2 linked regions of the Cricetulus griseus genome follow. The protein of the gene in region 1 binds, or shares a complex with, the protein of each later gene. Links are inferred from orthologs where the notes say so. Each region holds a gene or a part of one and is shown on either strand. Other genes may lie near its edges. The genes, in order: Drc3 and Efcab2.

The links.
Region 2: Drc3 (region 1) and Efcab2 share a complex: the UniProt entries of both Homo sapiens proteins name them as parts of the nexin-dynein regulatory complex. The link is inferred for Cricetulus griseus from reciprocal best matches to the Homo sapiens genes DRC3 and DRC8.

Annotation. Positions count from the first base shown.
Region 1 is NC_048600.1:74,503,728-74,507,536, forward strand, and holds part of Drc3 (dynein regulatory complex subunit 3), read left to right. Parts: intron 1-1,175; coding exon 1,176-1,350; intron 1,351-3,809. UniProt on the Homo sapiens protein: Component of the nexin-dynein regulatory complex (N-DRC) a key regulator of ciliary/flagellar motility which maintains the alignment and integrity of the distal axoneme and regulates microtubule sliding in motile axonemes.
Region 2 is NC_048598.1:15,756,043-15,760,637, reverse strand, and holds the start of Efcab2 (dynein regulatory complex protein 8), read left to right. Parts: upstream 1-1,561; coding exon 1,562-1,592; coding exon of another isoform or gene 1,593-1,969; exon of another isoform or gene 1,970-2,480; intron 2,481-4,595. Other genes in the region: protein SOGA3, read right to left, coding at 1,385-1,969. UniProt on the Homo sapiens protein: Component of the nexin-dynein regulatory complex (N-DRC), a key regulator of ciliary/flagellar motility which maintains the alignment and integrity of the distal axoneme and regulates microtubule sliding in motile axonemes.

The sequences.
Region 1 (3,809 bases):
AATAAGATATGAAACTAGAATTGCAGTTTGGAAAAGGTCAGGATTCACTAGGAGTGAAAAGTGACTGCACTGTGTGATGTCATGGCGCCAGCAGCAGTCATGGGGTACAGCTAGTCCTTTTCCTGGTTTGGACGTGTGAGAGTATGAAGCTGGCTGAGCCTGTTGATGGCTCCTATGTGAGAACCTCCATACACGGCCCTCCCAGCTCTGGTGAGCTGCTAAGGGCAGAGCCTAGACATCAGTGGCTGCATTGAACTTGACAACTTTTTCAGTGACTACCTACACAGAATACTCAACATTATGGAGAGACTGAGTGAAAAAGGGTGTCTACCTTGCTGGCCATTGTCTTCCTTAGGGACCCATGCTCTTGGCTTAAGCACTGGAAAGCTGTGGGATTTGTAGAAAGGCATCCAATCTCCTGAACACATCCCCACAGCATCCCCAAGACCCCATGGGTTTGCCTGTCCTGAGCCCCAGGTCTCTGCCAAGGAAGGATGCTTTTTGTTTTGTTTTGTTTTGTTTTGTGACAAGGTTTCACTGTTGTAGCCCTAACTGGCTTGGAACTCACTCACAGAAATCCCCTGCCTCTGGCCCCACCCAATTCTGGAATTGAAGGTGTGTGCCACCACTCCCAGCTTCTGAAGAATTCTTGTGGTGGCTTCCTCCATGCTGTTAGCTGAGGTAAAGATACTGAGGCCTAAAGAGGTAACTTGCTAGCATGGGTCCCAGGAGCAGCATTAGAGCCAGGAATTGAACTTAGACCACCTGGTTCCTCTCATAGCTCAGATGAGTTACAGGGCAGGCCCTCCCCAGAAGATTAAAAAAAAATCTTAATTTAACCAGATAACCAGAGATTAAAAAAAAAAAAAAAAAAAGGACTCCACCTCCTTCTCCTAGCCAGGCTGCTTCTAGCTCTCACCCACACCCCTAGTCCTCTAGAAGTCTCTTCTAAGGCCTTTAGCCATGTTCCCAAGTTCCTTAGGCACAGGTAGAGATGTCATAACCGAATTGCAAGCCCTGGTTCCCTGGCTTCTCTGTTTCTCCTTCTGTCCAAAAGGATCACCTGTACCCTCCATAGTTCTCAGCATGGTATGTCCTGCAAGGAACTGTCAACATTTTTGTCACAATCCTAGTGGCCTGCTCTTGAGCCCCAAGCTTCCTTAACAGCCACTTACCTACAAGGACAAATTTGTCATCATCTGCCTGAACATTTTTGAATATGGTTTGAAGCAGCAGGAGAAGCGAATGGCAGAGTTAGACACTTTCAATGAGTGCATTCAGGATGCTATCCGGGAGAACCAGGAACAGGGCAAGCTCAAGGTTACCAAGTTTGAGGAAAAGCATCTGCTGGTAAGTCCCCTTCTCCTGTGCCAGGCTGCCAGGACTCCCCTCACTGTGGAGGGGCTGCAATGTTCATGTCTTCCAGTGGCTCTGAGGCCCCAAGTCTCTGTCCATGTACCAGGGGTCACAGTTTCACCAAATGGCACCACACACAGCTCAACTAATCCAACACAGGGTATCTCCCTCACATCAGATACCCCTAGGATTCAAGCCACCCCACCCCCACTCATCATCATTAGTGTGAGATATACCATTAGGTAGTAATACCCATACTTTCTTCTGTTTGTTTATCTGTTCATTCATTCATTCATTCATTCATTCAGCAGCCATTTATTTTCCAAGCCTCACTCTGCCTGGCCCTGGCATGCTAGGGTTCTGATGTACATGCTTTCTGTCCTTGGCAGTTCCCACCTTGTAAGGCCTGGGCCCTGGGCCAAAGCCTTTCTTATCTGAGTGGCAGAGTGGTCAGGGTTGTCCTAGAGCTATAGAAAGGCTCACCTCCAGAGAAGAGCTAGGGAACTAAGGAGGTTCCTGGGGCTCTTCTGCCAGCAGCACCAGCAGGGATCAAGTCACGGTGCCTTGGGGTTTTAGTGGAGTGAGTGCTGCTCTGCACCCACTGAGTCCATTCCAATCTCAGCCTGCCTGCTCCTCACAAGCCTCTCATTTTAGCCCATCTTTGGTTTTGCTTGTCTAGCTCACTGCCATTCTTCCATTTTCTCTTTCTCTCCCCTATACGTTTTAAGGTATTACTTTATGATGGCTCTTTATAGGTTGAGCTAGTAGCCCTGTGTCTTCGAAGTAACTTGAGAGTACTTTTCCAAGTACTTTGCTATTTATCTTGACATTTGTCTATGTTGCTTTTGTCATGTGGAGTGTTTGTTTGTATAGTCAGGCAGTCTACTAAGCATATTATACCCCCAGCATATATATATATATATATATATATATATATATATATATATATGTTTTGTTTTTCGAGATGGGTTCTCTGTGTAGCTTTTGCCTGTCTTGAAACTCACTCTGTAGACCAGGCTAGCCTCAAAATCACAGAGCTCAGCCTGCCTCTGCCTCCCAAGTGCTGGGATTTAAGGTTTGCACCACCACTGGCATAAATTTTTAATAGAATAAAATTTACCAGTCTTCCTTCTGGTTGTTCTTGGAAAGTATTTCTCCGTTCTGAGAGTCTCCAGTAAAGGTCTTTCTTGTTGGACTGAGGATGTAGTTCAGTTGGTACAATGCTAGCATAGCATGAAATCCTGGGTTCTACCTTCAGTCCCACCAGTCCCACATAAATTCAAGTGTGGGGAAACACTCCTGGAAGGTAGAGGCAAGGGAATTAGCTTCAGCTACCTAGCAAGTTTTGAGACCAGCCAGAGCTATGTGAGACAATGTCTCAAAGGGAAAAAAAAATCTCCTGATTTTCTTCTTGCTTTTTTACATTTGTTTTTGCATTGGAACCTTCACTAGTCTTCAAGTAAGGGTTGTGGTAGGCATGAGCTGGGTCCTTCCCAGGCAGGAAAGTATCACACATGTCCTTTGTCCCACTAACCAGTATCATTGCTCCTTCCTGCTTCAGGGCTCATACTTTTAGTCACAAAACAAGGTTGCATTACACTGGTGCTGGTCACGTTACTGGGACCTTTGCTGATGAACAGGTTGCTCACCAGCCCACAAGACTGTCTCACTCAAAATGTTCAGCCTATTTTCCATAGACTTCCACTTGCTCCCTGGGGCTCTAAGGGGTTTCTGTCTGGTTTGCTCAAAGATTGGAACTGTTTTTGCTGTGGAGTGGATATAGTCTCATCTCATAAGGTGGCAAGATTGAGACGTGGTACCGGTAAGACGTGATTGGGGGTGTGGGGTGAGGGATGGCTCAGGAGGTAAAGACATTTGCTATGCAAGGCTGAAGACCTCAGTTCAATTGCTGGAAGCCATGCAGAGGTGAAAAGAGAAGACTGACTCCACAAAGTTGTCCTGATCTCCACATGCATGCACTCCCAATAACTCTTTTTTCATTTTAAAAGAAATGAATCGGTCGATAGAAAGGCCTGGCGCTTTTCCCTGTGTGGGACTGGGTTGCTGGCCAGTCAGAGGTGGGTTTTCTAAAGAAAACTCTGCTTTGCCAGCCCTCTCCTGTACCTCTTCTCCCCCACACATGACCTACTCAACATCTGTCACCTGACACTGGAGCTTGCACTCCAACATAATGCCATCTGATGTTGTGACGCAGCTAAAAGGCCCTTGAGAGAATCCAAACAGATGAGGCTAACCACACTTGTACTTTTAACCTTCCAGGCTGTCCTAAGGAAACTGATTTCTTTTGGTAGTGTGGGGACCAACCCACAACCTTGCCACTTAGGCAAGTGCTCTCCTGTGGAGCCAAATCCTCAGCCTGCACATTGTATTTCCCAAGCTGACCTGTATATGGGTACAGTACATAAAGCGGGCATAGTGAAGCAAGCCTGCAG
Region 2 (4,595 bases), on another chromosome or scaffold:
CACACAGATAGATGCACGCTCACACACACAGACACATACTCACACTTTCTTTCTCACACACAGACACATATACACTCTTTCTCACATATAGACACAGACATACAAGACAATTTCCAGACAGAATGTCCCATTGTATAACACAACTTTATTCGCTAGAAACTTATGTGGTAGAAACAAATAAATAAAAGCACTATAAACCATTCCAAGAGCTTGTGGAACTATGGAACCACTGAGGAAGAGGTGGAGAAAGACTTAGGGAGCAGGCAACATTTAGGATCCTCTGCAATCAGGAATGGCCGGTTCTCTTTCTCCCCACACTTGCTTGGCCTGCTTTGAAGGTTCATTGCACTCTGTTTACAGAAGTTCAGTTAAGAAAAACCAGTAACACAAAATTAAATACAGCCTGGCGGTGTGCATGCCTTTAATCCCAGCACTCAGGAGCAGAGGCAGGCTGATCTCTGTTGAGTTCGAGATCAGCCTGGTCTACAAAAGCTAGTTCCAGGACAGCCTCCAAAGCCACACTGAGAGAAAGCCCGTCTCGAACCTCCCTTCCCCCTCCCCAAATTTAAATACTAATATCTTGCATTTTAAAAGCCTTAACATTTAGTTGTTATTTTTATAATAAATTTTTAAATGAGTACACATGCCCTGAAATATCATTAAGGATTAAAACTAGTTATTCATCTGAGCCACATTGTTAAAGACATTTTAATACTTTTTTTTTTAAAAAGAAAACATCCAAATATATCAAGCTTACCCATAAAATAACAAAACACTACAGCCAAGTTCCTCAGGAACATAGGATTCAAAACTCTCCCTGGAAGGTCACGCCAAACTGCACCATCAACCTATCAATGTGTGTAATACTGAGAACAGACCGGCAATTTATTCGTTGCTATGAGAACACTATTTTGTACCAGACATTGCAGCCTTGACGACGCAGTGTTTTGCGCCTATTTTGCACGTGTTTTCCTACAGCGAGCCCTCTCTCGCGATCCCGGAGAGAGGCCTGCTGGCTTCCTCCGGCAGCGGCCCACGTCCGTTTTCGCTCCAGTTTCCCTGGGCTGCGCAGTGGCTCCGCTTAGAGGGCGACCCAGGGGACGCACCGGGCCTGGCTGGCGGGCGAGCGGGAGGGAGGGCAGCGGGCGAGCGGCCTTACGGTTGTGAATGGGCCGGGGAGAAGCCGCGCTCTGCACGCGAGCTCTGCGCAAAAACAATACAAAACCAAACCGAAGCAGCAGAAACCGCAAATAAGTAAATAAATAAATAAGTAAATAAACAAATAAGCACACAAACGAGGCAGCCCCGTCCCCCGAGGGGGAGCGCGCAGCGCTTGAACTCTCAGGACGGTCACAAACAGGCCAAGGCGGGCTCCGGAACTTTATTAATAAACGACTCCCCTAGGCCGCAAGACCCCGGGGCTGGGCTGGGGGAGCGGAGCGGGCCCCGGGCGGAAGCGGGAGGACCCCCGCGCGCCGAGGGGCTCCCTCCCGCAGGCCGGGCTCGCGCGCCCCGCAGGGCTTGTGATGGGCATCTCCCAGGCGACGGGCTCCGCACCAAGATGGCGGAGGAGAAGGAACGGGAAGGCACAGGTAGGAACGCTGCCGGGGCCTCCATCTTGAGCCCCTCGGCGGCGCGGGGCGGCGCGGCGCGGCGGGCAGACGGGGGCCGAGGAGCGGCGCCAGCCCGCGTCCCCGCCGTCGGCTCCGCCCCGCGGCCCCTCCGCCCCGCCCGCCGCGCCCTCCCATCCCCCGGCTGAGGTCCGCGCGGGCTGCGGCCGTGGCAGCCGCAGGGGACCTTCATAATGGCGTCCTTGTTCCCGGGGCCTCCACGCCCGCCGCGCCCGGGACTGTGGGGACCCGGAGGCCGGCCTCACGGCGGACGCGAGCCGGCGCCGGAACCGGGCGGGAGCCTCTGCGGTCGCGCCGTAGCCACGCCCGGCCCGGCCCCAGGCGCCGGCCGCCTCCATGTTGCCTCCTCCGCCAGGCGGCAGAGCGAGGCCTCGAGGTCACACCGGGCCGTGCTCGCCCGGGTGTCGCCAGAACCTCGCTTAAAGGAAGAGATGCCCAAATAACCGCTTTATAATAAGAACGGAAAGGAAAACCCAGCCGGGGACCCGTCGGGGCCGCCCGGACCCGCCGGGTTCCCCGCGCGTGCTGGGGACCGACCGAGGCGGCTGCAGTGACCCGCGAGGCCTCCGGGGACCCCGAAAAGCGACGATCCGCGTTGAACTGCTAGACCCTTTGAGTTGGCTTCTAACCCAGCAGCGTGACTTAAAATCGGGTCCGTGGTTAGCGTCCAGTGACCCAACAGCAATTACACCACAATTGACCGAAATCACCGCTCCATAAATCAGTAAATAAATACATAAAGCAAGCCCTAAGATAGTAAAGGGCAAATATTCGTGGAGGGAAGGTCACGCTCCATCTTTGTTGCAGTTTTTTTGAGTTTTCACAACGCACCATATCGACCCTCCTCCACTCTCAGTTTGGAACAAAGTAGTTAACTAATATTTACATGAGGTGTTTAGTCCATCGTCATGGTGACCGCAGAAAAGCAGCAGGGAAACTGTGAGACTGCCAGAGATCTGTTTATTGATAACTGGAAATTGAGATTTATACATGATAAAATTAATCTCAGAAGCCGGGATTGTAGTACAGGTTTAACCCTATTAAGGTATTAAGGTTTTGTGTTACTGCTTTAGAAGTGAAAGGAACACTCTTAAGAAAAATGTCCATGTACTTTTTTTTTTTTTTTTTTTTTTTAAGAATATGATAGTTGTTGAGTAGGGGGGTAGGGAGGATCAGGGAGGTGAAAGAATATGACCAAAATAATATATGAAAAAAATTTTCACATAAAAAAGCTTTCCCTTTTATTTAATTAGATTCTTATTTACCCCCCCCCCAAAGAAAATAAAAGGGAAAAAGAACTATTAGGAGATAAATTACATTTTTTAAAAAAGACTTGCTTAGGGGAGCATTGGCATATACTGCCAGTTTTTACAATGCAAGAAAATATATTCTTTTATTTACCTTGTGCCCCTGATTGGTTTGTAGAACTCAGTGATGTGATTAAAGGAGTATGCCCAGTCTGATTTTTAGCCCTAGAGAGAGGGAGGGAGGGAAGGAGGGAGAGAGAGAGAGAGAGAGAGAGAGAGAGAGAGAGAGAGAGAGAGAGAGAGAGAGAGAGAGAGAAAGAGAATGAATTCCTGATTCTTTAGTTAACAAAGCATATTTTTCAGCTTAAAATACATTTAGAGGAAGAAACAGTTCTGTCTGCAACTGTACAAGTTAAGTAGTGGCTGTTGAAAGCTGAATTTCATATATATTAAAGTTCTTGTATATTTAATGCTTGTTTGATGGAAAGTTAGTATTAAACTGGAGAATTTTGAGAAGACCAAACCTGTGATTGTCCAACTGAAGCAAGCTCTATTAAATACTGACCAGGAAGGTGGAGACTAGCCAGGTCTGTATTCAGGATTCCCAGAGAAATGGTGCTGAAATCAGGTCAGTCAGGTGCCTATAAAGGCCAAACCCACAAGGCCACTGTACTTTCCACCTTTGGCCAATGGGGGCAAACATACACCCTGTCCTATTTCCTGCCTAGGTAAATCTCCAGCCTCTCTCTGATCAAACACATCCTGTGCAGATGGGGCAACCAACCTTGTTTATTGAAGTGAAAATATGTGACTTGTTATCTTACAAGGACAACAGCCCCCAGCATTCCAGGAAGTGTTCTGTCCTTGGGCAAGTGGGGCTTGCAGGTTAACTTTAGCCTTAGGTGAAGTCAGAACTTAAGTGACTAAGAAGATGAGGAAGGCATTGGCTTTGCCCTCTCTATGGCCTCATCAGTAAGGGAGATTAGAAACATAACAGCTGGAAAACATGCCAAGAGGAGCAATAGGAAGGAGCCAGGGCCAAGATAAGACACCCCCCCCCCAGGACACACCCCAGCATCCTTTTTCATTCAAGAGACCTTACCTTTTATAGTTCTGTTCAAAGTTTTGAATCTATAAATGGATTAGGTTAGTGCCCTCAAGATCCAGTTGTCCCTGGGAAAGCCCTGAGACACATTGAGAGGTGTGCTGTGTCTCTGTCCAGTAAAGTGGATAATTAAGATGAAGAATTGCTAAAATGGGCGTTGGTGGTGCACACCTTTAGTCCCAGCAGAGACTAAAGGCCTGTAGGAGGCAGAGGCAGTCAGATCTCTGTGAGTTCAAGGCCATCCTGGTCTACAGAATGAGTTCCAGGAAAGCCTCCAAAGCAATACAGAGAAACCCTGTCTGGGGAGGGGGGAGGGAGGGAAAAATTGCTTGGAAAAACCTTTCTATGTGGTTATGTATGTGTTGATGTAGTTATGCTTCTCTGTAGCTTATTTTGTGTTTGGACAGTGTAATTTACTTTTTCCTAATTTTTTTCTCTAGCTAAAAAGCATATGAATTTAGAAATTTAAAACAAAGTCAATTTTAAGTCATTCATCTTTTTTTTGTACTGAAAGAATGTTTGAAATATGATATGAAAAAAATCTCTTTTAAGTTTTATCATTTCTTTGAAGTTTCCTCAGCGTTTTTGTTTGGATTTTTTTCCTTCCGGTTT